Alligator mississippiensis: one gene and its partner. The protein of the gene in region 2 purifies or fractionates together with the protein of the main gene of each other region. This does not show direct contact. Links are inferred from orthologs where the notes say so. Each region holds a gene or a part of one and is shown on either strand. Other genes may lie near its edges. The genes, in order: PRKAA2 and PRKAG3.

The links.
Region 1: the proteins of PRKAG3 (region 2) and PRKAA2 purify together in Homo sapiens (affinity purification with mass spectrometry; 3 studies listed by BioGRID and IntAct, counting the BioPlex papers as one, with this or other methods). This does not show direct contact. The link is inferred for Alligator mississippiensis from reciprocal best matches to the Homo sapiens genes PRKAG3 and PRKAA2.

The regions. Positions count from the first base shown.
Region 1 is NC_081828.1:12,122,628-12,138,294, forward strand, and holds the start of PRKAA2 (5'-AMP-activated protein kinase catalytic subunit alpha-2), read left to right. Parts: upstream 1-8,651; 5' UTR 8,652-8,736; coding exon 8,737-8,830; intron 8,831-15,667. UniProt on the Homo sapiens protein: Catalytic subunit of AMP-activated protein kinase (AMPK), an energy sensor protein kinase that plays a key role in regulating cellular energy metabolism.
Region 2 is NC_081827.1:253,861,558-253,877,733, forward strand, and holds the start of PRKAG3 (5'-AMP-activated protein kinase subunit gamma-3), read left to right. Parts: upstream 1-9,917; 5' UTR 9,918-11,121; coding exon 11,122-11,625; intron 11,626-11,975; coding exon 11,976-12,057; intron 12,058-12,251; coding exon 12,252-12,310; intron 12,311-12,440; coding exon 12,441-12,486; intron 12,487-12,963; coding exon 12,964-13,018; intron 13,019-13,347; coding exon 13,348-13,474; intron 13,475-16,176. Other genes in the region: tubulin monoglutamylase TTLL4, read left to right, coding at 295-489, 692-774, 1,667-1,795, 2,015-2,137, 3,007-3,105, 4,560-4,694, 5,052-5,189, 6,276-6,378 and 4 more. UniProt on the Homo sapiens protein: AMP/ATP-binding subunit of AMP-activated protein kinase (AMPK), an energy sensor protein kinase that plays a key role in regulating cellular energy metabolism.

The DNA of each region.
Region 1 (15,667 bases), on a different chromosome or scaffold from region 2:
ACAGGTGACAACCTGGTGAGGGGACTGCGGGTGCTCAACCACCTGGGCGACAGCAATCATCACCTACTGGAATTCACCATCCAGCACAGGGTGTCAAAGGCCTGCAGCAAGGCAGCAGCCCTGGACTTCAGGAGGGCAGATTTCAATGAGGTAAGGAGATTAGTTAGGGAGGCTCTGAGGTCCCGGAGGGGAGGGGAGTTGGAAGTCCAAGAGGAGTGGTTGTTCCTTAAGGAGACGATCCTCCAAGCCCAAAGGGTGACAATCCCCACACGGATCAAAGTGGGCAAGAGCACTCAAAAGCCCCCATGGCTCACCAAAAGCATCCAGGAACGTCTCAAAGCCAAAAAGGAGGCATACACCCAATGGAAGGGAGGGGCCCTTATCAAGGAGGAGTATACCTCCATTGCTCGAGATAGTAGGGGGGCTGTTAGGAAGGCTAAGGCAGAGATGTAACTGGGACTAGCGACCCAAATCAAGGATAACAAGAAGTCCTTTTTTAAATACATAGGGGGTAAAAAGAAGGTACCGACTAACGTGGGACCTCTGCAGGACACACTTGGAAATCTGGTGGTTGCACCAGATGACGAAGCTAACCTCTTTAACAGATTCTTTGCTTCCATTTTTCCAAGCAGGGACCGAGTCATCCACCCCCCTGGGATCCTGGATGCACCCAGGGGAGGCAAAGTCAAGCCCAGGGTCAGTGAGGCCCTAAGAGGATAGGCTTAGGGACCTGAACCTGTTCAGCCTCCACAAGAGAAGGCTGAGAGGGGGTCTGGTGGCCACCTATAAACTGGCCAAGGGGGACCAGCAGGCAGTGGGAGAGTCCCTGTTCCCCTGAGCACTACCGGAAGTAACAAGGAATAACGGCCACAAGTTGACAGAAAGTAGGTTCAGGCTAGACATCAGGAGGCACTACTTCACAGTCAGGGCGGCTAGGACCTGGAACCAACTTTCAAGGGAAGTGGTGCTCGCTCCTACACTGGGGGTCTTCAAAAGGAGGCTGGATAATCTTGCTGGGGTCTTTTGACCCCAGTACTCTTTCCTGCCCATGGCAGGGGGTCGGACTTGATGATCTGCTCAGGTCCCTTCCGACCCTACCAACTATGAAACTATTGTCTCAGAATTCCTCCAACCCCTCACAAGGTGAGGAAAGCCATCAGGCAGATGAAAAGCAACCAGGCATCTGGAGTGGATGGCATCCCCGCTGGAATCTTAAAGCAGGGAGGAGAGGAGCTCACATCACCGTTTCATGCCTTCATCTTAAGGATCTGGAATGATGAGGAAATCCCAGATGAACTTAGGGATGCCATGATTGTGACTATCTTCAAGAAAGGAGACATGTCTGACTGTGGAAACTACAGAGGGATCACCTTATTGTCTACCACAGGAAAGATCATCACAAGACCTCTTCTGAACTGTCTGCGTCCACTTGCTGAAGAGCTCCTCCCGGAATTTCAGTGTGGGTTTAGGGAATCAAGAGGCACAGCTGAGATGATCTTCACAGCTCACCAGCTGCAAGAGAAATGTGGGGAACAATGTAAGCCTCTCTACACAACCTTCATTGGCTTCATGAAAGCTTTTGACTCTTTGTCAGTCAAGAAGTATTGCCAGGAGATTCCTTCTGAAGTATGGATGCCCATTGACAATTGTCACTATTCTCTGCCTAGTCATGGATGCCATGATGATATGCAGGTGATGGTTCTCAGTAATGGATCTATCACAGAGCCCTTTGAGGTTAAAACTGGAGCTAAGCAAGGCTGTGTCATCACTCCAACACACTTCTCGAAATTCCTTGCTGCAATGCTGCATCTGACCACCAACAAGCTTCCAGATGGAGTAGAGCTAAACTACCGAATGGATGGTAAACTGTTTAACCTCAGCTGACTCTGAACCAAAACTAAGACCACCCTGACCATAGTCATTGAGCTCCAGTATGCTGATGATGCTGTAGTGTGTGCTCACTCAGAAGCAAACCTTCAGGCAACTGTCAACGTCTTTACTGAGGCATACAAGAAAATGGGACTTATGCTTAACATTCAGAAGACTAAGGTTCTCCACCAACAAGTTCCTAATGAACAGAACCCTGTAATCCAGATCCAGTAACCCAGATCCATGGTAAGACTCTGGAGAATATTGTGCATATCCCATACTGTGGAAGCCCGCTCTAACAGAAGGCCGACATCGATGAAGTAATCCAGCATCGCCTCAAATGGCAAGTGCAGCCTTTGGGCACCTGAAGAACTAGGTGTGTGAAGGTCGCAACATCAGATCCAAAACCAAGTTCATAGTTTATCAAGCAGTTGTGATCCCCACCTTGCTGTACAGAACTGAGTCACGGACAATGTATGGGAAACATCTAAAGTTGTTGGAGAAGTACTATTAATGCTGCCTGTGGAAGATCCCCCGAATCTAGTGGGAAGAGAGAGAGACACCAACATTAGTGTCCTCTCACAAGCAAACACCACAAGTATTGAGGCAATGATCATCTGGCATCAACTTCTTTGGGCCAGCCATGCCATCCAGATGTTTGATCCCAGACTCCTGAAGCAAGTTTTATTCTCCCAGCTCAGCCATGGTATACATTCAAGAGGAAAGCAGAGAAAGCGCTTGAGGGATGCCCTCAAGACCAGCTTAAAAAAATGCAACATCAATGTCAACTCATGGGAAACTATCACCCAGGACTGCCTCAAATGGAGGAAGAGTCTGCTGCAGGGCTCTCGGTACTTTGAAACCTCACAACAACAAGAGGAAATGGACAAGTAGGAACGGCTGAAACAGCATGTCACAGCCCAAATAAAAAAATCCAGCGCCACCACCAGCCACAGAAACACATGTCTGAGTTGCAGTAGAGTCTGTCGATCCTGGATAGGCCTCATCAGCCATCTTCGAACACAAAGATAAGACAGTCGTGGCAGACAATCATCTTGACTGAGAGGAATTTCCAAAGACGATGATTGGGTTAAAGGTATGTTCACTCTGTGACTATACGGGGTTAATTCTAGGTATGGTTTAGTTCAGAGGATGCCTGTGAGGAAACATGCAGGAATGTAGGACAATGGATCTGGATAAAAATCTGTCCTTACCAGGTCAGAAAGGCAAGAAACAATATTTGATGAATTAGTTCTGAAAAGGCTACTTGTAGGGTATTCAAAACAGATGTCTTGCCAAGAATGGGTGCAAACAAATCCAAAGGACCATGAACAATAAAAAACAGTCTACATTCAGAATTGAGGAGCAGTGGTCAGAGCAGAAGACAAGAGATGGAGCAGTGTCAGAAGAAGCTAGACCTTACCCAACTCTCCTGGGGGATCCTAAGAGTTAGGTAAGATAGGTACAGAAAAATAATCCTTTTCTCTCTTCTTTCTGCTGGGACCTTACTGTTCTGATTAAACATGACTTTGTCTCAAGGAAGCTCTCTGGTCACCCTGGTCTCAACTGAAAAAACCTCCCAAAAAGAAGATACATTTCTGAACAGGGTGTGCTTTTATTATGTATTATTACTTATTCTTTGAATTATGAAAATGGCCTGATTGTTGCTTTGACAGTCTTTGTTTGAGCTAATTATAATCAATGGAGATGTTGGAAAATTACAATATTTTTCTCATCATTAGCAGTACACTTTCATAATTTACTTATGATTTTGCCACATATACTTTGTTTATATGTCTTCATTGCAAGGGTTGGAGTCATTATTTCTATTTTTATATTTGTGTAGGTCCTTGGGTAATTTGATGCTGCCTTTGGAGGTCTTCAGCTACTCTCTTGTGTTTAACCGAACACATTGCAAAGCTGGGGATTAATGGCATTCAAATATTCTCAAAATACATTTTACGGGCCTTATAAATACATTTTATACATCTTGTTAACTAATATTCAAGCATGCATTGCTTAAAATGAGGTAATCAGTTTGGTTTTTTTAAATGTCACTTCTTTTCTTAATGCAGACAGAGTCCTGCTTAATGGAGGACTGGAGTCTTAATTTGAATAAACTTTCTGATTTTTTGCAATCATCTGATGACAGTTTTTATGAGAGATTTCATAGATTTCATAGACATTAGGGCTGGAAGGGACCTCGGAAGATCATTGAGTCCAGCACCCCACCGGAAGGGCAGGAAATCATTTGGGGTCATAAGATCCCAGCAAGATAAGCATCCTATTTACTCTTGAAGGTGTTCAATGTAGGTGCTTGAACCACCTCTGATGGCAGGCTGTTCCAGACCTTGGGGGGTCGGACAGTAAAGAAATTCTTCCTTATGTCCAGCCTGAAACGGTCTTGCAGTAGTTTGTAACCGTTCGACCTCATCAGCCCTTGGGGGGCTCTGGTGAACAAATGTTCCCCCAGATACTGGTGGTCACCCCTGATAAACTTATAGATGGCCACCAGATCACCCCTGATCCTGCACTTTTCCAGGCTAAAGAGCCCCAGGTCTCTCAGCCTGTCATCGTAGGGTCTACTTCCCTGACCTCTGATCATGCGCGTGGCTCTTCTCTGGACTCTCTCAAGCTTCTCCACATCCTTTTTGAATTGTGGGGCCCAAAACTGGACACAGTACTCCAGGTGCGGCCTCACCAAGGCTGAGTACAAGGGGAGAATGACGTCCCGGGATTCGCTTGAGAAGCATCTATAGATGCAAGCCAGTGTTTTGGTCGCTTTACTAGCAGCAGCATTGCATTGCAGGCTCATGTTCATTTTGTGGTCAATGATAACCCCCAAGTTTCTTTCTTCTGTAGTGCTAGCCAGCGTACCACTGCCGAGCCTATAAGGATGCTGCAGGTTTTTCCTCCCAAGGTGGAGAACTTTGCATTTTTTCATTGCTAAACACCATCAAGTTCTCGTCTGCCCATTTGCTGAGCCTGTCCAGGTCAGCCTGGATCACCCTCCTGTCTTCAGGTGTGGATGCTTTGCCCCAAAGTTTGGTGTCATCGGTGAACTTGGCCAGTCCACTCTGACTCCAATGTCCACATTATTAATGAAGATGTTGAACAATATGGGTCCAAGGACAGAGCCTTGGGGGACCCCACTGGTCACTGGGCACCACAACGATTGACTTCCATCAATTACCACCCTCTGGGTCCAACCACGGAGCCAATTTCCCAGCCAGCGGATCGTGGTGGACCCAAGGCCACAACTGGCCAGTTTCGCCAAGAGGTGATCATGGGTTACCAGACTGAAGGCTTTTTTGAAGTCAAGATATATGACATCAATCTCTTCTCCCTTGTCCAGGTGATAGATCACCTGGTCATAGAAGGAAATGAGATTGGTCAAGCTGACCTACCCACAACAAACCCGTGCTGGCTATCCCTCAGGATGTTGGCATTGGCCAGTCCATTAAGGATGGCCTCTTTAATAAACTTTTCTAAGATCTTCCCCGGGATAAAAGTCAGGCTGATGGGCCTATAGTTTTCCGGATCCACTTTCCTCCCTTTCTTAAAGACTGGCACCACATTGGCCTTCTTCCAGTCTTTGGGCACTACACCAGAGCGCCAGGAGCTCTCGAAGATCCGTGCCAGGGGCTGGGCTATGATGCTTGCCAGCTCCTTGAGTACCCTGGGGTGTAGATTGTCAGGGCCGGCTGACTTGAAGGTGTCCAGCCTCTCAAGGTGTACCCTTATGAGGTCAGCATTGATGGGGGGCAGGGGATCTCCCTCACCCGGACCTCCCTGTTCCGTAGCAGGCATGGGCATCCCATGGGACTGATGAAAGACTGACGCAAAGTACCCATTTAATAGGTTGGCTTTTTCCTGGGCGTCAGCTGTTAGTTGTCCCATCTGGTTCAGCAGGGGTTCAATGTTGCCCTTGCTTTTCCTTCGGCTCCCAACATAGAGGTTTATTTGAAAGAGGAAACTAACTTCAGGCAAACACCAGTGTTACCCCATCACAGTTCTGTGTCGCCCGCTAGCAGCAAAATCAGGGATCTTAGTTTAGGACTAATGCTGCATGAACTAATGGGGTAGCTTAGTTTGCTCCAGCTCTAAATTGGAGACCTGATGGGCCCAGGTTCAGTACCTGTAGTTGACCTGGTGTGTCGTCACACAACCGCTACCAGTCCAAGGCCTGGGCCCAGCCTATAGCTGTGGCAAGGGATTCGGAGGAGGAAGATGTAGCCTTGTTAAACCTACAGCTCCAGTGTGGATGACCTGCCAAGTTCGCTCCCTGGGAAGCTTGAGAAGGGGTGTGTTTCCTCTTTTTTGAGACAGGAAAAATGAGGAAAATCTTCATTAGAATACAAAAGACTATCAGTAAATGGCCAATTCCTTCAGATGGACAATGTAAGTTAAAAACACTGTTTGTTTGTTTTCTTAAATGAGTCTTCGAATTGGAAAGAAAAATCTTAGGAAGAACTAGTAAAAATAGCTTGCTCAGAGCAGCTGGGTTATTTATCCAGGATCCCTGTATCATTCAGGCCCCTGGATTTGAATCTATTCTGGAAGGTTTCATCACGTGATGTAAAGACATTAACGACTTCATGTCAGGTAGGCAAATGCACATGACTATTCCACTTTAAAACCCCACTGGACTACTGTATCAATCAAATTCAACATTTAATATTTATATTAATGAATGCCCTATCATTTATCTCCCAGGTGACTCTCAGCAGCCTCCTGCAGGTTTATCTTGAATTCCTGGAGACTCCAGGGCAATGCTGGAGGGATGGCAACCCTACCTGAAGCACAGGGCAAGAGTCTTGTGCAGCAATTTCTCGCCGTGCTGCCAAAAGCACCACACAAGGCAAGGGGCCAAACACTAGCCACCAACAAAACCCTGTGTGTTGAAGCAGGACGCTGCAGCACCCACAAGCCCACAGCAGGGCAGGCACTGTCAGCAGCATCAGCAGCACTTCTCTCAGGGGGTGCGCCACCAATCTCAGGGGGTGCGCGTGCACCTGTGTGCAGCCCCTAAGTGTCACCAATGGGACAGAGGACAAAGTAGCAGAAAACCAGAACATCCTTTCCGATGGCTACCCTCACCCAGCTTCAGAGGCCCTGTACGATGAAAACAATCCGTGAAAACGGAGGCTCCGTACAATAAAAATAACGCGCAAAAATGGATTTTCATTACATTTTAAAGATGAATTTTTGACATACAAAAAAACCTACAACTTGTGGTTCCAAAATGATCCCTTCCATTAGACCAAGTGGAAAATCATAAGCCAATCGTCCTTTTCTGCAAGCTTTCCCCATCCAAGTTCCTTTGTCCGGCTCTGGGGAAAAGTTGAGATGGTACAAGATGCTAAAAGGCATCATTTTGGCGCCAAGTGTTCTAGTTTTTTGTTACAGGGGCGCAGGCTGTAGCTGTGTTAGTCTAAAGACATGGGCAGACAAGGTTCTTTGGGTGAATCTGATCTCTTTTATTAGAGTCACTTCAGTTGCTAACAATTATTTTAAAAATTTCCAACTATTTCAGTGGGTCTCATAAGATTCTTTGGGTGAATCTCTTCTCTTTTATTAGACCCACTTAAATTGCTAACAATTTTTTAAAAAATTCCAACTATTTAAGTGGGTCTCATAAGGTTCTAAAGTCCTTTGGGTGAATCTGACCTCTTTTATTAGACCCACTTAAGTTGCTAACAATTTTTTTTTTTTAATTTCCAACTATTTAAGTGTGTCTGTGTCTCATAAGGTTCTTTGGGTGAATCTCTTCTCTTTTATTAGACCTACTTAAGTTACTAACAATTTTAAAAACAATTTCCAGCTATTTAAGTGCGTCTTATAAGGTTTTTTTGGGTGAATCTGATCTCCTTTACTAGACCTGCTTAAGTTGCTAACCATTTTTAAAATTTTTCCAACTATTTAAGTGGGTCTCATAAGGTTTTTTGGGTGAATCTGATCTCCTTTACTAGACCTGCTTAAGTTGCTAACCATTTTTAAAATTTTTCCAACTATTTAAGTGGGTCTCATAAGGTTTTTTGGGTGAATCTGATCTCCTTTACTAGACCTGCTTAAGTTGCTAACAATTTTTTTTTAATTTCCAACGATTTAACCACTTAAGGTTAAATAGTCTCATAAAGGTTCTTTGGGTGAATCTGATCTCTTTTATTAGACCCACTGAAGTTGCTAACAATTTTGTAAAAAATTTCCAGCTATTGAAGTGGGTCTCATAAGGTCCTTTGGGTGATCTGACCTCTAAGACCCACTTAAGTTGCTAACAATTTTTTTTTTTTTCATTTCCAACTATTTAAGTGGGTCTCATACGGTCCTTTGGGTGAATCTCTTCTCTTTTATTAGACCCACTTAAGTTACTAACCATTTAAAAAACAATTCCCAGCTATTTAAGTGGGTCTCATAAAGTCCTTTGGGTGAATCTGATTTTTTTGGTCTGCCTAGTTTTCTGTTTGTCTACTCGTCTCACACCCACCCGGGCTACCAAGTGCACCCCTGCACCAATGATGGATATCAATGAGCCATGGATGTGTCTATGTTTGTGGTCTTCGAGTGGAAACCTCGGGAGGGGAGGGGGGGGTTATTTTATTTTATTTAATTTTGGGGGTGGGGTGAGGTGGGGGTTGCTCCTCATCTGGCAAGGCAGTGCGCGCGCGGCAGGCGCGGGCGGAGCGTGGCCGGGCGGCAGCGCCGCAGCGGGCGGGGCGGAGCGGTGCGGGGCGGGGCGGGGCAGGGCGGCTGCAGGAGCATCCCCGCCGTCCCCCCGGCGCGGGGCACCCCCGGTCCCGCGGCCGCGCCGCGCCGCGCCGCCCCGCCCCGCCCTGCTGCATTGTGGTCCGGCGGAGGGGAGCGAAGATGGCAGAGAAGCAGAAGCACGACGGGCGCGTGAAGATCGGGCACTACGTGCTGGGCGACACGCTGGGCGTCGGCACCTTCGGCAAAGTCAAGAGCTGAGTGGCGGCGGGGGGAGGCAGGGATGCGCCGCGGCACCCCGCGGGCTGCAGGGATGCTGCCGGAGGCGGCGCTGCGTGTGTGCGCGGGGAGAGGGGCAGCTCCCGCTGGAAGAAGGAGCAGGGCTGGGTGGGCACGCAGCATCCTGCGGCTCTCCCTCCTCTCTGCCTCGTCGCGGCGTAGCTGTGGGCCCGAGGGGCAGGTGCTTGGCTGCCGGCGGGGCAGCGGGAGGCTCCGCGGGGACCCGCTGCGGGGCGGGGGGAGGACGGAGGGCGAGGAGCCAGGGATCGCTGCCCGCTGCCCGCACGCACGGACCGGAGCCGCGCAGCCTCTCGTTTGCAGCTCGGGCACGCCTTCGGCTTCTGCTGCCTGCAAGATTTGCAAATGCAAATGCAGGCACGCTGCTTTTTGGGGTTGTCTTTTTTTCCTAGGCAGAATTGCAACATGAAGTTTCATTTGGGATTTGGCTTGGATGGATGGACGGTGGGAGCAAAATAGACTGCAAAAAAAAACAAAAAAAAAGGGGGTGGGGGGATGGGCGCTACCTAGGCCAGAATAAACATGATCATTATGATCGTGATAATCATAACAACAATAACAGTAATGATAATAATAATGATCATTATGATCGTGATAATCATAACACCAATAATAATGACGCTAATGATGGTATGGATAATAATGATAATACTAATAATGATAATTATGATAGTGATGATCATAATAATGATAATCATGATAATGATTATCATGATAGCGATAGTCATAACACCAACAATAACAAGAACAATAATGATGATATGGAGAATAATGATAATAATACTGATAATTATGATAGTGATGATCATAACAATAATGATGATGATACTGATAATTATGATAGTGATGATCATAACAAAAATAACAACAATAATAATATGATACGGATAATAATCATAATGATAATTATGATAGTGATAATCATAATAATAATGATAATGATAATCATAGTAATAACAATGATGATGATGATAAGGATAATTATGATAGTGATAATCATAACAACAATAATAACAACAGCCATAATGATGATACGGGTAATAATGATGATAATGATAACAATAATAATTATGATAGCAATAATCATAACACCAATTATAACAGCAACAATAATGATGATAGCATAATAATGATGATAATGATAATTATGATAGTGATAATCATAACAACAACAATAACAACAATAATAATGGTGATGATAATAATGATAGTGATAATCATAACACCAATAATAACAACAATGATAATGACAATGATAATAATGATAATGATAATAATGATAATGTTAATCATAACAATAATAACAATAACAATAATGATGATAATAAATGTTCCCCATCATGCAAAACTGCACATACTGCATAACTGCAACAATAAATGACCATTTATCCAAGCCATTCCTGTATATGGCACTGACCTTCATAACAGCCAGCAGTTTCCAAAGAGACGTTTAAAGCAGCATCATTCTAATTTAAGAAACGGCTTTTCCTGGAGAGGGAGAATAAATACAAGAAAATAAAAATAAAATCTAATCTCTTCCTTTCTGATACTATAGTAAGCTTTCAGGGCATGTTTGACAGATGCAAAGTGGGTTCGGGGGGGGGGGGGGTTCAAACTGGGATGAAACGTGATGTGAGGCTTACGTGTGGAATGACAGCATTTGTCTCTAAACAAGCACTAGGATTACTCGTGTTAAAAAGAATATGACCGGAAGGAGACAGATGATGAATTACTGATTAAAGCTATATATATTATATATATTAAATATATATATTTAGTATATTACATCATTTTTTCTTACTAAAAAGGGGGGCTATGTCATTTTACACTCTCCCCCACCCCTCACCACTGATTGGTTCAGAGAGATGCCCATTTTTGGGTCTGGCTTCTCAGCCAATCAGCGGGAGGGGGATGGCCCACATGACGGATGGCCCTCTCGGCCAGTTTGCAACCAGGGGTGGGGCCATAGGATGGACAACCCTCTCGGGCAATAAGCGGTGAGGGGCCCTCAACCAATTAGAGGCATGGGAGGGGCCTGCCACAATAAGCCCGCTTAAGTGGTGGTCGGCCCCGCAATTGACACGTGAAATCAGTTGCCTGCCGCCTCGATTTCGGTAGGTCCCTAATAATACGCATAGGGGAAGCCTTGGAAGAGCCGCCTAGAGGTGCTGGGAAAGCACCGCTGGAGATTTTGAAGAACATAGTAAAAGAAACCTCTGTCCGTGGCTAAAAGTATACTTGATCCTTCTCAGGGGTTTGGACTGCTTGTACAGATTACAACAGTAATATTATAGCAGCACTCATTAGGCTTAGCCAGGGTCTTGGTTACCGCACAAGCACACATCAAAGACAAGCCCTAAAATAGAGGGGCGGTAAGCAAAAACCAAGGGAAAGGACAGTGGCTTGACAGGCAAGCAAAGGTTTGGGTAAAGAACTAGGACAACATTGTTACAGATGTTCCTGTTTCTAAAGTAAAATCTGGTTAATTATCACTCCAAGGGGATTGATGGGTAATGATGACTGCTTACCAGTAATTAGTCCTTTTCAATTCTTTGCTAGATGTATTTTTCATGTCATAGTGAGACGTGGTAAGCAATGAAGTTTGACATTTTAACAAGGAAGAAAAAAATTACAGAAGTTTTGAGTGCAAAGTATGTGCACTCCTACGCACTACCTAAGAACTGTCTGACGAAACAGATAAATGTTTAATGGACTTTTTTGAAAGAAAACTGTGGCGTGCTCACTCTTTAAGAGTTAAATGATTATGAGGGAATGAAATAATCAGTCAGCTATTTTTTCTGTCTGCTCTTACATGGACTCATCATCAACGTTCCCTTTAAGGTTTAGTGATCTGTGAGCAATCCTGGCTGGGAGTGCATGGGTATCTCGGTGTGCCCCCCACCCCACCGCCCTCCTCTGCAGCAGCTTATGGCTGGGCTGGGGTGGGTGGTGAGCAGCCGGAAGCGAAGTCGGTGGTGGTGGGGGGGAGCATCAGCACCCCCTTGCTATGGCACTGGGCATCCCCCCCAGGCCGGTGCCGCGTGTCCATGACCCCCTACTGCTCCCCATCGGTACACCACTGTGTGCGCGCCATTAAAAAGTTATTGCGTGGCATGATTTTTTATTGTGCGCGGCCACACATGCACATAGCTTAGAGAGAACCGTGCTCATCATCCCAAAATGGAAGATAATACGGTGCTATGGTTCATTGTCTGCATCTGATTGAGTCAAAAAAAGCTGGAGTATCCAACACTTGGCAAGCACCAGTGGGCTTGACAGGAGCTTTGGGGGGCGCATATCTTTTAAGCAAATGAAACCATATCTTAAATCGTATCTTTTAAGCAAATCATATCTTTCAAGCAAATTAATTATCAGAAGGAAATCTATTGTGATTTAGTGTGTGTACATTTGGAACGGGCTGCGCTGTAACAGATAAACTCGCCAAAGTGTTTTGTGTACAAATCAATGGGACGCTAATGGGGATTCAGTGTACTGACTAATCAGACCATAGCAATGATGAGTTATCCCAGTGCATCATTAAACAGATTTCACTGTGTTTAATTTGGGAGTGGAGGTAGGGAGGGTAGTGGGGTAGTTATTAGGATAGGAGATCTCTCCCATAAGCGCTTGTATTCTAGGTGTAGCACGTGCAGATATCTTAAATGCTTTGCCTTTACTGCTTCAACCAAAAGCCACGTGTAGAGGAAGAGACGGGATCTGTTTTAAAGAGCTCAAAGGGATCTGTTTTGAAGAGCTGGGCCAACAGGGACCTTTAGCATTTAGTGTAAACTTTAATGAGTCGCAGCTGATTGCAAGAGAAGTACTATTTCTTTCCATGGCCTGTTTCTACTTCTAAACCAGCTAAATCAGAAAGGTCCACTTTTAGAAACAGATTTTGCCCACATTTGCCTTGTTAGCATTCTCCGATGAATCTTTACCAAACATGGAGATTAGTGCACTGTCCAGATGAAACAGTAGGCTTTAAAAAAAAAAGATCAAGTCCCTTTTGCCCTGACTTCTTCAAGTTTGAGAGTGCTGGTGCTTATCCTTTGTGCTTGCTGTCTTGTTGCTGGAAGATCTGGGTAGCTGCTGCTGTTCCTTTTATTAATCACATCCATTGTTTCCATGACAAGGTGAATCACTGCTAGCCTGCTGAGCATCCTGAGGTCAATTCAACGTGCAGTTATACGCATAGCTAATGCCTGTCATTTGCCAGGAACGTGAAAGAATTCATTAAAACCTGTCTTACTTCCCTTCCCTGCTTCCCCCACCCCATCCATGTACACCCTTTTTATTGCATGGGATAACTTAGAAAGCAAATGCTTGGCTTGCTGAAAAAGAAACCCTCTTCCTAGTGTTTTATGGCAGGTGCCAAGAGCTGGCAGCAGGACTGATAATCTGGGGCTCTTGGAGTTTGGGGGTTGATGATCCCATTTTAAAGGGAACCCCCCTCCTCTCTTTATGGGGAGAAATGTGTTACAAAATACGGCAGTCTCTTTTTGGGTAAAACCCCCCCAAAGGAACAGGGCAGAAGGTGACATCCTGCAACCCCAGCTCTATGTGAGTGAAGCAGCACCAGCATCACTAAAGAAAGGTCTTTCCCTCCTTAAAGAATTTCGGTCTGAGCCTTCTCCCCATAGCTGCATGCTGTTTCTCGCCCCATTTCCATTGATTCCCATGGAAATTTCCAGCAAAAATCCACAAATTGTCAAGAGAAAATATGCCAGATAATTCCTTCTCCTGTCCTGGCCTGGAGAACCTCTGTGCGTGATGTTACTATGGGATTCCTGCAGTTGCCTCGGGAGTACAGACTGCTGCTCCCCTCGTTCCTTATCACATTCACCACCCAAGATCAGTCACCCTCCTTCGACCAGCTTCAAGGGCTGGAAGTACCTTTTTTACCAGGATCTGTGCAGGGAGCAGGAACCAACATCACCCAAGAAGCTGGGGGAAATGAAATCCCCGAGTCTAAATTCCTAAAACCCAAAATAATACCAATGTGCCATCATTTGTGAAAACCAGATAATACACGTTAGGCAATACATGCAGCTTCCAAAGCATCTTTGGACGGAGCCCAGCCTCCAAACTAGACCAAGCAGCCTGAGATAGCTTGTGGATCTTTTTAATACTTTTGCCAACTAAAGATACAGTGAAGGTCAGGGGCGGCAGTCTACCAAGCCAAGCACATAGCTGTCTTCACTCCAGTATATAAAGCCTCCTGTAGCTAGAAGCAGCAGCATTAAAAACTTGACGTGCTTAAAAGGTCCCCATTGCACAGCAAATTACATTCTCTCTTTGTCTCTGTCTCTCTTAAGACATGCAAGTAGGCTTAACAAGTCACTGGGGACTGAAACAATAATATCTCTGTATCTAATGCTTACTGTAATCAAAAGATGGATTACAAAACAGACTTTATTTTTAATTATTAATGTGCTGAACTAAAAAAATAAACCACAGAGTTGTATGCTGTTTATCAAGGATGAAAGGAAGAGAAACCATTCAGGAACATTAGTATTGTTATTTTAATTCTTTCTTTCAGACCTTCTCTAGTATATCGGTGATTAGGTGATACATAAAAAAGAGATCATGTCACTGGAGTAGGGTGAAGTAGGTCTAATAATTGGTATCCGGCAGTGCAGTAAATTACTGTGCTTAAATGCACATGTAGATGGTGATGTTGGGATTAGTCTATTCTGGCTCAGATTGAGCTGGAGCATATTTGGTCACATTCATTGCATGTGTAGACGCGCCCATTGTGTGGCTGATTGGTGAAGTGTGGGGCTTACAACCTCAGCTAAGTTGTGTCCCACACGGGTTTATCCGTTCCTGATACAGGGGCTGTAGACCTTGATCTGAAGCTATCTATTCAGGTTCCCTTTCTCTTCCCTCCTCCTACTGTGCAGCATGTACCCTAGGTACATTCTGGGTTGGAAGACAGACTGGTTTCCTTTGTAACACCAGTATTAGCCAGAACAGGGCTGCACAAACCAAGAGGAACCCCCCAGACCCCCCCATGCTTGTACAATATGAGGTCACCCTAATAGGTCCTATACATTGACATTCTCCATGGATGCCCCAGTATAGAAGAAGAATTTCTTAGCATGCAGTTCTCTAGAGGTTCAGGGCTATAGAGAAGTCCATAAGTATGGCACGGTATGATGTCATAAATTAGGGCAACCCCTGGGATGCTGTAATTTCCCAAATCTCAGGAGTGCAAAGATCCATCCGGGAACACGCCTTCTAATAGTGATTACTAGTGTTTTCAGTATACTGCACAGTGAGAATGACATATCTGCCTCATCCTGCACTGGATCCCTGAATTGCTCTTATTATACAAAATGCATTGCTTTTCACTGCCCTTATTTGTTTCTGTTTGTTTTTTACTATTGTGAAGTCTAAAATGGACATGCAAAGGAGCATTTTATTTTCAAGTGAGGCAAAGTGTTTTATTTTTAGGATACTCCTAATGAGGAAAGAATCTCAGGCAGTTCTTATCTCTTAGCTAATAATAGTGACCTTGCTCACTCTGAATGGTAGCAGTGTTACCACACACTCCTTTTCATGGTCATCTGTACACATTCAGGCATTGCATTATGCTTCTAATGATCTCTTTAAAGCTGATAGCAATTTAGGATGTTCATATTTTAATAGCAGGGTTTGTCCATAAGACAATTATCAACTCCTTACTGTTTCAAAGTATTATTACATGGCCTTCCTGATTATAAATGTTACCATTATGGTTTTTAGTGTAAAGAAGTTTTCAGTGTAACCTAAACATCTGTCTATAGTTCACCAT
Region 2 (16,176 bases):
GTCAGGGGCAACGGTGTCGTGCGGCTCCAAGGTTGCTCACGGGGTTTGTCTGGTGGGGGGTTGGACTGGGCGGATCCTGCGTCAGGCTGGACGTGACCCCGCAGCTCCCTGCCGGCCCCATGGCTCTGGGACTCTACGATTTGACAATGGACCCTGCCCTAGGCATACTTAGCCCTGCCAGTACAGTGCCCTAGCCATACAGGCAAAGCTGGCCTCTCTGCAGTGGTGGCCTGTCCCTGCCTGGGACTAGGAGGCCGGAGGTGGCTGCCTCAGCTCACTCGATCCTTCTTCCAGATCAACCACTTCCCCGGCTCATTCCAAATCGGGCGCAAGGACCGGCTGTGGCGGAACCTGGCCAAGATGCAGACACGCTGCGGCAAGCGGGACTTCAACTTCTTCCCCCAGTCCTTCATTCTGCCCCAAGACATCCGGGGGCTGCGCCAGGCCTGGGAGGAGGGTGGCACCCGCCAGAAGTGGATCGTGAAGCCGGTGCGCTGTGGGGCAGGGTTCAGTGGGGAGCACAGGGCAGCTGGTGGGGCTCAGGGCTTGAGACTGGGCCAGGCAGCCTGGGCCTGGGCATTTGTGGGGGCTGGCTCCAGGGAGTTTGGGGGGGATATTGAAGCATCGGACCTAGTACCAAGGCACTGGTAGGGAACCTAATCCCCTCTTCTGTGTGTGACCCCTTTTCCAGCCGGCGTCGGCAAGAGGCATTGGCATCCAGGTCGTCCACAAATGGAGCCAGCTGCCCAAGCGCCGGCCGCTGCTGGTGCAGAGGTGACTGGGCATGGGGGGTCGGGCAGGCAGGCAGGCTGCCCCTCTCCCTTGCAGGCCAGGTTGCCTTTCAAAGGCTGCCCAGGAGCAAGGGTCCTACCCAGGGAAATAACCCAGTTCTGAAAACCCTTTTGTGCCCCACGTCAAAACAGAGGTGCCAAGTGCCTGCAGACTAACAGGAGTGGGTTGGGGAAAAGGTGGTATCGTATTGATAGGCAAGTGAGTAGAGTAGAGTAGGTGTCCCCAGCAATGCCCAAGGGGGGCACTGGGATGGAGCTGGGAGACCCCAGCTGCCTCCCTGCAACAGGGAAGGCAGAGCCAATGTCCTGCCGCTGCTAGTGGGGTTGGTGGGCATTGGAGAGAGCCCAGGCCCTGGCCGTGCCTCTGCTGCAGAGGGAGGGGAAACCCCACCGACCAAGCTGAGCAGGGGGCAAATCCCTGCCTGCCCCCCAAAGGCAGCATGAGCAGGAGGCAAGAGCCTGTAGCCAGGACCTTGCGTGGCTGAGTCCCAGCAGGAGCATTGGCACAGCTGGGCACAGCCCCAGACTTGGCTGCAGCCAGCACCTGATGCCCTGGATCCCTGGGAAGGGGCAGTGACCTGGGCTAGGATGAGTCTGTCTCAGGGCACAGGAGCCTTCCTCTGGGCTGCGTGCTGAGGCTGGACGAGGCACCTCCAAGCCTCCCCGTGTTATCCACCAACCTAGCACCCATGGTGCCCTGGGCCAGGCCGCCTAGGAGGGCGTGGGGTTTCCATCCCTGCAGGCTTAGGAGTGTTGGCTGGGCTGGGCTGGTTTGGACCAGAGCTGCGGGCATGGGGGCCCTGGGTGCAACTCAGGAGCCTGGACCCTCACAGCCATGCCCCTCCCCACCCTCATGCCCCCCTCGTTGTCTGCAGGTACCTGCATAAGCCCTACCTCATCGGAGGCAGCAAATTTGACCTGCGCATCTATGTCTACGTCACGTGCTATGACCCGCTGCGCATTTACCTCTTCAGGGATGGGCTTGTGCGCTTTGCCAGCTGCAAGTAAGTCTTCAGGGGCAGCTCAGAGCAGGTACAGGCCAGCTGTGCTGCTATCTGGGCACAGTAGGGGGCTGATGTTGTGGCAGGGCACCAGTCTTCTCTGTAGCAGAGTAGTCTGGTGCTCCCAGAGCGGAGGTTAAGACAGAGCCCCCTCCCTGCCACTGTCTGGGCACCCCATTACCCACATGCTGATCCCTGTCTACCCCCCTGCTCCCGGCCCAGGTACTCATCCTCTATGAAGAGCCTTGGCAACAAGTTCATGCACCTGACCAACTACAGCGTGAACAAGAAGAACACAGAGTACAAGGCCAATGCCGACGAGACCGCCTGCCAGGGCCACAAGTGGTAAGGCCGGGGCTGGCTCCTCTCTATCGCTGTGGAGAAGAGGGGGGTTCCTGCCAGGGCTCTACCACCGCAGAGCTCCAAGCACTTTCCAGAAGCAGCCCAGTGTTGTCCCATGTCCGGCAAGGAAACTGAGACATGGGCAGGGCCAGTGGCAGAGCTAAGGATGGTATTTGCCAGACAGCTCCGCCCCTGCCAAGCTGCCCTCTGCTCTGGCAACCTCAGTTGCTGGGATGCACCAGGCACAGCTGCCAGTGACCCGGGTATCGGAGTTATCCCTGTTGCTGCTCCCAGGAGCTGGGCCAGGCCTCACCGTGCTCAGCGCTGTCCTTTCCAAGGATGATTCTGCCTGGAGTTACCCCTGGCTGCCCACAGGTGCAGGGTGGTGATGGGGGGCCAGGACATGCTTGGGTCATAGTCACATCCAGGCCAGGCAGGCTGCAGGGCCCCCCTCTGGCTCCATGGGACCTGCAGGGTACAGAGCAGCTGACACCGCTGCCCATGCTGGGGGTTGTGTGGGGGGAGGCCCTGCCCTTCCCTGCCCCCTTCCTGGCGTAATGCCCCTGTTACATAGCGCTGTCCGATCCTTCTGATTCCTGTGCGGGACCTGGGAGCAGTGGTGACCTCCTGGCCCATGCAGTCCTGACTGGTTGTGTGGGAGGTTCACTGTCCCGGGGGTGGGGTGGGGGGACAGAGCTATCTATCCCAGCCCACCCTGGCTGCTGCAGCACTGGCTGTCCGTAGTAGAGAAGTCTGGCCACAGAAGAGCATGCTCCGTGACTCTGCCCACTGTGGCTCCCTTCCCCTCCCTGCATGCACCTGGGGTGGGGCAGGCACCTGGTGCTGTGACCTCCCATTATCTGGCTCCCCAGGGCACTGAAAGCACTTTGGAGCTACCTGAGCCAGAAGGGGGTGAACAGCGAGGCCATCTGGGAGAAGATCAAGGACATTGTCGTCAAGACCATCATCGCGTGAGTCTCAGGGGCCCCCTGCCAGCTTCCCTAGTATTGCCACAGCCCTGAGCTGTCCTGTTCCCTGGTCATGTAGTGACAGCAGCTGCTGGGCTTGGCCGTCACCTGCAGCCTGGGAGGAGTCGGTGTCCAGCGAGCTGGGGTGGGATGGACAGTTGTGTGCTCCTAACCCAGGATAACTGCCAGGTGTGACTCCTCTGGCCAGAGCTGGGGGCAGAATGCTCCCAGCATGGGTCACAGCAGCATAGTGGGCTGGCATCTGCGGCCATCCTAGTGCCTTGACCCCTGCCCCCAGCCACCCTGTGATAGCTGCCCCTTGCATGAGCTTCTGCTGCATTACCTATGACTGTTATCAGAGCTGGGGGGGGGTTACCCCAGGGCAGAGGGGTCTGGGGCCATCTGTCCTGTCTCCTGGGACTCGGGTCCTAGGCAGCTCGTGTCCATATGCTCTGCCCAAGATCCTTTCTGCACCCCTATCCTTCCCCCCCCCCCCCCGCACCTATCCAGCACTGGCTGTGCCTGATGTCTGGGCCGCAGGGATCTAGTTGCAGCCCCAGGGCGGCCAGGAACTTTGTCTCCTTCCCATGGTGATGGCTGTGAGGTGCCCAGGCCTCCGCTTGGGCACCCTCTGAGGCCTGGCTGAGCATCTGCCCTCACCTAGGCCTCAGGACCCTGGTCTCTGGCTGGAGCATGCCCTGTGGGGCCAGGGCAGGAATGGCAGGTCTCCAGTGCTATGGAGGCCTGTTCTCAAAGGCCAGTTTCCCTTGCCAAAGGCCCCCACAGATCCCACCAAGGCTTGGCTAGGGCAGGTCACTTGGGACCTGAGTTCAGGTTCATAGAGCCACGGCCAGCAGGGAGCTGTGGGGTCACATCCAGCCCGAGGCAGGATCAGCCCCAGACAAACCCCATGTGCAACCTTGGAGCTGCACGACACAGTCATCCCTGACACAGCCCCAGGCGTCACCCCTGCCCCTGGGATACATGGGGCTGTGGGCATCAATGTCCTGGGAGTTGGGCGCTGGAGAGATCCCAGGCCCAGGCTGTGCCCCAGCTGCAGAAGGAGGGAAAACCCCCCAGGCCAGGCCATGCTGAGCAGGGGGCAAATCCTTCCCTGCCTGCCTTGCAGCCAAGGCAGCCTGAGGCTCTAGCCAGGACCCTGTGGGGCTGAGTCTCGGCACAAGCGTTGGCACAACCCGGGCCCAGCATCCAGCACCTCTGGGGGCAGCTTAAAACCCACCTGACACGTGGAGCAGAGACTCGGGGGGAGCACAACTAGCAAAGATTTGTTCAGCAAGAGTCTGTGCTGCTATGCCCAGGACTGGCCTGTTGGGAGAGCTGTGGGAGCACTTCTGCCTGTTGGGAGAGCTGTGGGAGCACTTCTGCATGAGGTGTGGTGTGGCGTGGCTAGCTGCTGCCCAGCTCCCCAAGCTAGCATGCCTCCCCTTGGCTGACAGGTCGGAGCCCTACGTGACGAGCCTGGTGAAGATGTACGTGCGGCGCCCATATTGCTGCCACGAGCTCTTTGGCTTCGATGTCATGCTGGACGAGAACCTCAAGCCCTGGATCCTGGAAGTCAACATCTCCCCAAGGTGGGCACCCAGGGGACCCTCGGCCCTACTGCCCGGCACGTCGGTTTGGGCCCCTCCCTCTCTCTCCCCTACCGAAGCGGGGCACAAAGGCTCCCTGCCCTTTCTCTATTTCAGCGTCTCTGCACATTCCCCCGGATGAGCTGGTCGACAGCCGGGCGCTCAGCTGTGCTCTTGGCAGGGTAGGGTGGGTGTACTGGGTCCGGGGCCTGCATGAGAGCTGCCCATCATTGTGGGAGGCATTCGCCCTCACAGAGTTCCTTAACTATCACTCCCACAGCCCTTGTGGGTGGGGAGAGGGGCCAGGCACCTCCGGGATCTCCGGCCACGGCAGACTCATTCCTTCCCTGCTCCCCACAGCCTCCATTCCAACTCGCCGCTGGACATGAGCATCAAGGGCCAGATGGTCCGCGACCTGCTGAACCTGGCTGGCTTCATCCTGCCACCTGCCGATGACATGGCCTCAGGCACCACCAGTGGCAGGAGCTCCGCCACCAGGTGAGTCGGGGACTGGGCCCGGCCCAATCCTCCTCCCGCGGCTGGTCCCTGCCTTCAGCTCCCAGCTACGTTGTGAACAGGGCAGAGATCCTGAGCTTTGTTATGGACCCTCACCCCTTCCCGCAGGCCCCTGAGGCCTCATGGGTTAGAGTTATAGGAGAAGCGTAAGGCCCTGACTGCCCGTGGCTGTGCAGGGGGCTTTGACCTGGCCGTTGTGCCTCGTCCAGTGTCTAGTTGCTTCCCTCCTTGCCCAGTGTGGCACCAGCTCCATGCAGCTCAGGAGAGCAGAGGGGGGCTCTGTGTTCTCATGACTGCCAGCAGGGTTTGGAGTAGGTGTCCGGCAGCACCCGTGGCCTTCATGGGGCCTGCGCAGTGCCCAGAAGAGCGGCTGCTTCCCAGGTCAGACCCTAGGTCCGTCCTGCCTCGACTCCAGTGTCACAGGGCATCAGAGAGCCCATGAATCAGTCTGGAGCAGCTTGGCTTCTCTCAGCTGCTAGCCCTGCCCCACTGCAAGATGACACCAATCCTGTCTGCTGCCAGTGCCCCAAGCAGAGGCCTGGAGCAGCCTCTCTGCCTGCCCTGCCCTGCCCTGCCCATCTGCCCTGAGGCACTTTCTAACCTGGCCTTGGAGCAGCACCATCCCCTTAATGGGATCCAGAACAACCATCCTGCATCCAGGGGCGGCCTGTCAGGCTGGGACCTGTCCAGGGCAGAGCTGGGCAGTTAGTTGGAGACGGGCACGATTCCATGCGTTCCCCAGTGCTGCCAGGAATAGCTCGGGCAGGGCTGGCCCAGTGAGTCCAGGACAGCATGGGGGGAGGAGGGACATGTTGCAGCCATGTCTGTGACAAACCCATGGCTACAGCCAAGAGCCAGGGTGGGGGGGCCTGGATCTGTGCTGCCAGACAGAGGCCCTGGGATCCTGGCAGATGAGCAATGGGGTGTCACCGGGGATCCAGCCTGTGGTTTCATGCAGGCTGCGGTGGTTCTGTCTCGGCTGCAGCCACCCCTCCCTGGAGCCTGCGGGGGCCCTGGGCCGGGAGGCTGCCGACGGGCAGAGCCGTAACCGCGCCGTCCTCCGCACAGCCTGAGCAGCACCGCAAGGGAGAAGCCCCGGCCGGCCCCGGAGCAGGTGGTGGCCGAGAAGATGAAGAGGGCATATTACCTGACGCAGAAGGTGCCCAACCAGGTACGAGGCGCATATGTGCGTGTCCCCCTCCCTTGCAGGCCCCTGTGCCCCCCTGGCTGCAGCTCTGAGGCCTCAGCCCTGCCACGGCCCTCCTTTTCTCCTGGACCTCCTCAGCAAGCAGGCAACACCTCTGTGCCTCAGTTTCCACATCCTACAGGTTGCTTGGGGCTCAGGGAGCTCTGCTGAGAGCCACTGAGTGAGAAGTGGGGTGGAAGGGACCTCTGGAGGTCACATCTAGTGTAACAAACTGGAAGACAGCAAATACAGATTGGACATCAGGAAAAAATTCTTTACCATGAGGGTTGCCCGGATATAGAATATGCTTCCAAGGGAGGTGGTGCTGTCCCGTTCCTTGGAGGTGTTTAAAAGGAAATTAGATGCACACCTGGCTGGGATCATCTGACCCCAGCACTCATTCCCGCCCAGGGCAGGGGATCCAACTCGATCTCATAAGTCCCTTCCGACCCTACTTCTATGAAACTGAGATCCAACCTAAACCCACTGGGTTGCAAGCCCCAGCCCTGGGTCCACATCCTCGGCAGCAGTGGGGAGGGCTGGGGTGCAGGACCGAGCCAAGAGCTGGCCCCAGGGGCTGCGGCCCCCTATGCCATCCTCTCGACCCACACCTGCTGCTCCCGGGTGCAGGATTTCTACACCTCGGTGCTGGATGTGCTGACGCCGGATGATGTGCGGGTGTTGGCAGAGACGGAGGATGAGCTCTCGCGGCGCGGGCAGTTCGAGCGAGTCTTCCCTGGGCCTGGCGCCTCCCGCTACCTGCGCTTCTTTGAGCAGCCACGCTACTTCAACATCCTCACGGCCCAGTGGGAGCTCCGTTACCACCTGTGCAAGGGTAAAGGTAAGTCCCCTCCGCACCCCTTGGAAACCTCACGGTTCCTCCCCCAGCGCCCTTGGCTGTCCGGGGAGGGGCTGGCCCAGCATGGGCCTTGAAGCAGGTCTGGCTCCCAGCACTCTGTCTTAGAGGGCTGCATTTGGGCATTAACCCCTCCAGGACTCTGCCATCACCCCCCCCAGGTCCTTGGTGCAGTGGGTCGTAGGGAAGTCAGGCTGGAAGGGACCACAGGAGGTCCCCTCTGGGCCAGCCCCCTGCGCAAGGCAGGAGCACCCGCATCCAAACCACCCCAGATGCGCATCCGTCCAGCCTGGTCTGGTTTCCAAGCTTGGAGGTTCCACCCACGGCTCTCTTGGTCCAGGTCCTCTTGGTCTCCTGCCTCGGTTTCCCTTGCTGCAGCTCGAGGCTGTTGTTCCTCGTCCTGTCCCCTGCGGGCCAGAGAAAAGCCCGTCTCCATCCTCGATTGGCCCTTTGGGGATCTGAAGCCTGGGGTCCTGCCCTCATCCCCCTGGTCTTCTCTTCTGCAGGCTGAATAACCCCAGTTCTTTCAGCCACAGTCGCCACTGGCCCCCTCACACCCTGGGTCTAGAGCTGAGGCCAGTGTCGGCTGCCCCTGCCTGGTGCTGGGGGAGACTGTGGTGGGGTTTGTCCCCTGCTCCGTGGCCTGGGCGCTACTCTGGGCGAAAGCCGAGGGTTGCCTCTTGGCACCGGCGCTGGCTCGTTCCCCTCCAGCATCATCCCAGGGACTCCTGCTCACAGAGGGAGCAGGCAGGCTGGCTCCAGGCAGGCGCCAGGGCCCCAGAGATGCTCCGGGCTCCTCCATCCAGTTCAACATGGAGTTCATTGCTGCTCTGGTGCCCACCTGCATCCTGGGAGCTTGGCAGGGCCCTGGACCCGTCCAGGCTGAACTGAGCAAGCCCATCTTCTCCTTGTGGCGTTTGCCCAGGGCCCAGCTGCCCCCCTCCTCACCCAGCAGCTTCCCTTGCAGGCTTGGAGCTGCTGCGGAGCTGGTGCCGCCAGGGCTTCCATGCGGGGGTAGCAACGGATGTACTGCTGGTGAGAGACCGCCCGTGCCCTCCTCTCCCACCACAGTCCCTGGGGCTCTGGTCCTGGGACCCCAGCTGTGGCCTCAGCACCTCATGATGCCCCTGCCCCTTTCCTCTCCCCCTGCAGTGGTCTCTGCCCAGGTCCCATCTCCTCCAGAAGAGCAACCCCCACCTCAATGGCTTCAGCAAGCTGGACCCCAGCCGCATCAGGTAAGTGATGGCTGCAGGGCGCAGGCCCTTGTCCAGAGGAGGGGGCTGGCACGTGTTCTCGGTCACTCACCCACCCCCTTCCCTTCCCCTGCCCTCCCCTGCAGCAAGACTCTCCCAGCGCAGGAGCCCAAGGATGCCACCCGGGCACCAGAGCCCAGCCCTGGAGCCCAGAGCTCGTCCCTGCTGCCTTGCAGTGGCGGAGCCAGCAAGAAGCCTGGAGCCCCCCTGGCCGAGCCCACCCCGGCCTTGTGACTGAGCCGCCAACGCCCCCTTTGCCCCCACCCCAAGCTGAAAGTTTTGGGGGGGGGACCTGGAACCTACCTCACCGGAAGCTGCAAGTGCCAGCACAGGAGCCCTGGAACCTGCCCCGCCGCCCGCGTGCCACGGTGCCGGAGCCAGGCCGATGGACACTGGGATGTTTCAATAATGATCTCTGGAAGGCGAGGCCGGGGCTTGGCGCCGTTCTTTGGGCAGGGGGGAGGCGCTGGGGGTAGAGCCGCAGCCCCTGTGCCATGGGGGCTGGGTCCAGCTTCCCCCACCCCACAATTCTGCCCGCAGGAAAGTTCGTCTTGCCCAGGGATGTGGAGCAATGGCCACTAAGGGGACTTGGGCACTAGCACCGCTGCCCTCTCTGCCCCCAGGCTCTGACCCTGCCCCCTTCTCCCCCTCCCGGGCACCGACCCTTGCCTGCCCCCAAAGGAGCCAGGCTGTCACACGGTGCCCCCAGTGTGGGGCAGGAGCTGGCGCTGCTCCAGGGACGGGGGTCCCCTTCCCACCTGCTCTGCCTGGGCTAGAGACCGTGGCCCCGAGGCTTGGCTGGGCCAGGGCAGCCGGCAGCCCTGGACCTGCGTGTCTGCCTGTGGCGTGCAAGTGCCCAGAGCCCTGGGCCTTGCCCCCAGTCTGCCCAGTTCCCCCCAGCAGGAGAAGGCAGTGCCCTCCTCCCTCTGCTTGCCCCAGTCCGGCATTCCCGAGTGACCGAAAATAGCCGCGGGCGGCAGTGAAAGCGGAGAGCCCCGTGTGGGTGTCCAAGGCCCGGCTGTGTGTGTCGTGTGTGTCCCCACCCTGGCCATGGGGCTGGCACCTGGCTCAGCTTTGTGGCTTGGACCCTACAGGCCCCTGTCCCGTTCTCCCCCGCCCCCGCCTGGCACCTGCTGCCCCCTCCGTGCCTTGCCCGCTGCCCCCTCTCCCTGCCATGTGCCTGCCAAAAGGGAGACCCAGTGCCAAGCCCCGGCCCCTGGAGCCCTCTGGCAAGACCAGGGGCTGCCCCGGGGATGTGCGTGGCCCCCACTCCCCAGTTCCTGGTGCCAGGGTGTCCCCCAGGCTGGGGGTGGGGTCAGGCTTTGTACGGGGCAACACTGGCCCCAGCGGGTTTTCTAATAAAGTCTGTGAGTGCCGAGGGCTGGGCCTCGCTGATCTCTGCTCGTCGCCCCGCACCGCCAGCCCTGCCACTGCTGGAGGTGTGGGGAAACCGAGGCAGGCTCGGGGTTGGGCAGAGGGGGGGTGTTGCCTGGCCTCCACCCCCCGCAGCCATGCAGAGGGCCGAGCCGCCTGGCCTGTGATCCGAGAGGTTACGTGAGCTGCCCGGGCAGCTGTCCCGAAATCGGAGCCAGGCCTTGTGGGGCGGGGGAGCAGCTGGGGGGGACCTCAATTGTGCCAGCTCCCGGGGGCCTGATGTGATGTGGGACTGAGCCCCCTCCCCCAGCGGCTGGGCACACTCGGCCGTGCGTCTGCCTGGGCATCCCCCGTCTGTCCGTGCATCCATCAGCGCTGCTGGGGTCACGGTGCCAGGGCTCTGGCCTAGCAACCCCTCGCGCCCCCCCGCAGCTCAGACAGCTGGACCCCCCCGGCAGGGCGCAGGGCCTGCGACACTCAATCTGCCCGCAGCCGGCTCAGAATAGCAGCGCCGGGGCGGCTGCATGGAGCTGCCCGTCGCCACCCAGCAGGTACTGGCGGGGCATGGGGGGCTGGGGGGCCAGGGGCAGCCCCCGCTGGGGGGACAGGGCCCAGGGGTGGGCCAAGGGCCAAGGTGGCTGCCTGCACCCTCGGCCCAGTTGCACCAGTTCCTTGGCCCCTCCTGCCCCAGGGCCCTGGCACTTGCCAGCCTGGGAGTGCACCCCGCTGTGGTCTGGGATCCCCCCCTGCCCAGAGCGGGTCCCATGGGGGGGCTCAGACCCCCTGCAGGGTGAGGCTGGGCCCAGGCCTTAGGCTGCCCTGCTGGTGCCTCCCCAGTAGCAGGTGCAAGGCCCCGGTCACGGCAGTGCCCGCCTCGCTCTGCTTTCCGCCCTGCCAGGTCCGGCCGCTGGACGCCCGGCTGCCCTCGCACCAGGCAGGTGGGTCGGGGCGGCTGTGCAGCGAGCGTTGGTCCTTGGCCCCGCCGGCGCCCCTCACTTCCAACCTGCAGCTCCCTGCTCCCATCTCCAGCCCTGCCGGTGCTGGTCCTGACCCACAGCTCCAGTTCCTTGCCCCAGCCCCCCGGTGCTCCTCACTCTCAACCCAGGGCTCCCCCCAGTCTCCTCCATCCTGTCCCCGTCTCTGCTATCTTGGGGACCCCCTCCCAGTCTGTCCTTGCCAGCTGAGCTGTCCCCTCCAGCCCTGGAGATAGGAGTGAGGGGCACTGGCAGGGCTGAAGGGTTGGAAATGAGACTGCTCCCTGTAATCCCCACGGGGGGCAAAACAGTGGGGTCCCTGCCCCCAGCCAGAGGGTTGGGGGGGTTGCCAGTTTGTCCTACTCCCCAATGCCCCCCACCCCTGGTCCAGTGTGCAGAGGCCGGGGCTGGGGATGGGCTGGGATGGGACTGCCCCCGGTTCACGGGGCTCCTGCTCGTCCCTCCAGGCTCCCACGTGGCCCCACGGGCCCCGTGCTGGGAGGCTGGGGCCCAGGATGTGGGGCTGGGCCTGGGGGACGCAGGAGCCGACGTGCAGGGCATGGAGGTTGAGGCCACGGAGCCGGAGCCCCAGGCCACGAGCTCGGGCGAGCCGGAGCCGGTGCCGGTGCCGGACGCGGAGCTGCTGGGGCTGGGCCCGGAGGTGGAGTTCCAGGCGCCGGACGCCGAGGCGTACATGCGCTTCATGATGAGCCACTGCTGCTACGACGCCATGCCCACCAGCTCCAAGCTCGTCGTCTTCGAGACTTCGCTTGAGGTGCGGCCCGTGGCCGGGGCTCGTAGGGGCCGGAGCCTGCGGCTCTAGGGCCGGGCCTGGCGCTGCGGGGGTCTGGGCTGTCAAGGGGCAGGGGCTGGGAGTCCACGGACTCGGGTGGGGGCTGTGGCCTCAGGGGCAGCCGTGGTCTCCGAGAAGGGCTGTGGCTTCGGGGGGGGGCATAGTCTCTAGGGAAGGGGCTGTTCCCCCAGGGGGTTGGCCGTTGTCTCGGGGGCCAGCTCTGGTCTTGGAGAGTGACCTGGGTCTTTGGCAGTGACCGTGGCCCCGGAGGGATCGGCTGTGGCCTGGTGCCTGCCCCCCCCCGATGCCTTCCCCCCCTGCCCCCTCCCCAGATCAAGAAGGCCTTCCTGGCCATGGTGGCGAACGGCGTGCGGGCGGCACCGCTGTGGGACAGCCGGCAGCAGTGCTTCGTGGGTGAGTGCAGGGCCGTGGCCTCGGGGCAGCTGTGGCCCTTGGCTGAGGTTGGGGGGAGGGGGGCTATGGGTTGTGGGGTCTGGGGGGCTGCCGTGATCTCTAGGGGAGGGACTGTGGCCCCTTGGGGGTGGCCGCACTCTCCAGGGCCTGACCTCAGGGCCCCCCTGATGATTCCTCCCCCTGCCCCCCGGTAGGCATGCTCACAATCACCGACTTCATCAACATCCTGCACCGCTACTACCGGTCACCCTTGGTGAGTCATGGCCCCAGGCGGTGTGGGGGGAAGTGTGCCAGGTGGGACCCCCCCCCACCCATGGGTGCTGTGGGCCCCATGCAGAGACCCTTCCCCCCTGGTGCTCACCCCTCCCCACCATACTCTGCAGGTGCAGATCTATGAGATCGAGCAGCACAAGATTGAGACCTGGCGAGGTGAGAGCATGTGTGCACATGTGTGCAGGTGGGAGACTGCATGCACGTGTGTGTGCCTGTGAGCATGTGTGTGGATGTGGGGAGGGAGAGCGGGGGGAAGAGTCTGGGGGTTTGGAGGGGGCTGTGTGCAGGGTCAGGGCGCACGGGCCTGACACAGGCCACTACTGTGAGACGTCCAAGGCACGTCGTGGATGTGTGTGTGTGTGTGTGTGTGTGTGTGTGTGTGTGTGTGTGTGTGTGTGTGCCTGCCTGTGTACATAGGTGGGTGTGCGTGTGCCTACTTGTGCATATGCATGTACGTGGGTGCATGTGCATGCCTACTTCCATGTGCATATGCATGTGCATTTGCACGTATGTGCTTGTGCATGTGTACTTGTTTATATGTGGGCATGTGTGCATCTGTGTGCATGTGCACACCTACATGTATGGACATGTGCTGCCTTTACCCCCCGCCTCACGGTCTCTGCTTCCCTGCAGAGGTTTACCTGCAAGGCTCCTGCAAACCCCTCGTCTTCATCTCCCCCAACAACAGGTAACTGCCCCCTCCGCCAGGCAGGGAATGCTGGGGAGGCAGGGGCAGCTCTGAGCCAATCCCCCAGGTAGCTGGGACCCCCACCAGGGTCTTTCCCAGCACTCGGGGGGGCTGGGCACTAGGGTGGTGGGGGCAATGAAGATGGGAGAGACAGGAGTGGGACCCAGGAGTCTGGGCCCCTGAGCTATGTGTGATGGGGGGGCAGGCTTGGCAGGCTGGAGCCAGCCCAGGTGCCCCCCGCATGGTCAGAACCAAGGACCTAGAGCTGGGCAGGGGGGGCCCAGCCACCCTCCTCCCCCCATGCTACCCCTGGGCCTTGCTCCCCCCAGCCTCTTTGATGCTGTCTACTCGCTGATCAAGCACAAGATCCACCGGCTGCCCGTGATCGAGCCGGTGTCGGGCGACGTCCTGCACATCCTCACGCACAAGCGCCTGCTCAAGTTCCTCCACATCTTCGTGAGTGGGGCGCGGGGGGGGGACCCTGCCTTGCCCCTGTCTGTGGCAGCAGGAGGTGTGTGTGGCGGGGGCCATGCCCAAAACATGCCTGGCAGGGTGGGGAGGTGTGCTGGGGTACCTGGAGGCTGAGCTGGGTGCAGAGGTCCTGGTGTGTGCGAGCCACGTGTGTGTGGAGAGGAGATGGGCACACGTTGCATATGGGCAGCAGGCGTGTGAGCTGAGAGATGAGCACACATATGCAGTGCCAGTGGGTGTGTGTCTGCATGCAGGGGTTATGTGCTTGTGTGTGGTTGTGAGTGCATATGTGGAAACGTGTGTGCACATGTGTGTGTTTGTACAAGCCTGCTGGGGGTATATATGTAGCAGGGTGAGCACATGTGCTATGTGCATACGGACGTGCATGCATACATGTGTGCAGAGGGTGAACATGTGTGCGAGCACGTGTGCAGTGTATGGGTGGGAGTATACATGCAGGAGGCATACATGTAGTGGGGCGAGCACACCTGCTGTGTGCACATGGGTGTGCATGCATGCAGAGGACAAGTGTGTGTAGAAGGGTGAGCACACATGTGCAGCATATGTTTGGGTAGAGGTGAGCAAGCATGCAGGGGGCATGCTCTTCCTTAAGGAGAGGATTGTCCGAGCCCGAGGGGTGACAATCCCAACGTGAGTCAAAGGAAGCAAGAGTGCTCAAAAGCCCCCTTGGCTCGCCAAAGGCATTCAGGAACTCTTGAAAGCCAAAAAGAAGGCATACATCCAGTGGAAGGGGGGGAGCTACCACCAAAGAGAAGTATACCTCCTTCGCTCGGGTCCGTACGGGGACTGTTAGGAAGGCTAAGGCGGAGACGGAAGTAGAGCTAGCATCAAGGACAACAAAAAGTCCTTTTTTAAATACATGGGGAGTAAAAAGAAGGCACCAGGCAACGTGTGGCCCCTGCAGGATACGCCTGGCAATCTGGTGGTTGCACCAGAGGAAAAGGCAGACCTTGTTAACAAATTCTTTGCCTCCATTTTTCTGAGCAGGGAGCGGGATGTCCCCCCCGGGACTCAGGAGAGACTCCGCCAGGCCTAGGGTCAGGGAGGACCAAGTCAGGGAACTTCTGGAGGGGCTGGATGTGTTCAAATCAGCAGGTCCAGATGCTCTCCACCCCAGGGTGTTGAGGGAATTAGGAGAGGTCATCGCGAGGCTCCTGGCACAGCTTTACAAGCACTTGTGGTGCTCTGGCCAGGTGGCAGAAGGCTGGAAGAAGGCCAAAGTGGTTCTCATTTTCAAAAAAGGGAGGAAAGAGGACCCAGGAAATTATAGGCCCGCTAGTCTTACTTCAGTCCTGGGGAAGCTCTTTGAGAAGATTATCCAGGAGCACATCTGGGAAGGAGTGGCAGGTGGGACGAAGCTCAAGGGCAACCAGCACGGGTTCATTAGGGGCAGGTCCTGTCAGACCAACCTGGTGCCTTCTACGACTAGGTCACAAAATCCTTGGACGCAGGTGTTGCGGTGGATGTAGTCTTTCTGGACTTCAGGAAGGCCTTTGACACTGTCTCCCATCCCATCCTCATTGAAAAGCTAGATGACTGTGGCATCGATGCCTACACAGTCAGATAGATTGCGAATTGGCTGAGGGGTCGCACTGAGAGTGGTGGTGGACAGGTCACATTCGACCTGGAGGGCTGTGGGCAGTGGGGTTCCCCAGGGCTCGGTCCTCGGGCCCACACTGTTCAACATCTTCATCAGTGACTTGGACGAGGGGGTGAAAAGCACCCTGTTCAAGTTTGCTGACAACACCAAGATTTGGGGCGAGGTGGGCACACTAGAAGGGAGGGACAGGATACAACTGGACCTGGACAGGTTACAGAGGTGGGCGGATGAGAACAGGATGGGTTCAATACTGACAAGTGCAAGGTGCTGCACCTGGGGAGGAAGAGCCAGCAGCACACCTACAGGCTGGGGAACTCCCTTCTCGTCAGCGCAGAGGCAGAAAAGGATCTGGGAGTCGTCATTGATTCCAAAATGAACATGGGCCGACAGTGCGGGGACGCTGTCAGGAAGGTCAACCACACCTTGTCGTGCATCCACAGATGCATCTCGAGCAGGTCCAAGGAGGTGATCCTCCCCCTCTACGCAACACTGGTCAGGCCGCAGTCGGAGTACTGCGTCCAGGTCTGGGCACCGCACTTCAGGAGGGATGTGGGCAGCATGGAGAGGGTCCAGAGGAGGCCACTCGCATGATCGGGGGCAGCAGGGCAGGCCCTACGAGGAGAGGCGACGGGACCTGGACCTGCTCAGCCTCCACAAGAGAAGGCTGAGGGGGATCTGGTGCCCATCTATAAACTGTCCAGGGGGGACCAGCGGGGAATGGGGGAGTCCCTGTTCCCCTGAGTGCTACCGGGAGTAACAAGGAATAATGGCTACAAGTTGTTGGAGAGTAGGTTCAGACTAGACATCAGGAGGCGCTACTTCACAGTCAGGGTGGCTAGGATCTGGAACCAACTTCCAAGGGAAGTGGTGCTGGCTCCTACCCTGGGGGGCTTTAAAAGGAGGCTGGATAATTCCTAGCTGGGGTCATATGAGCTTAAACTTACCAGGGGTCATATGAGCCCAGTATTCACTCCTGCCCAGGGCAGGGGTCGGACTTGATGATCTGCTCAGGTCCCTTCCGATCCGACCAACTATGAACATACGTGTGCGGGTATGCAAGCGAGCT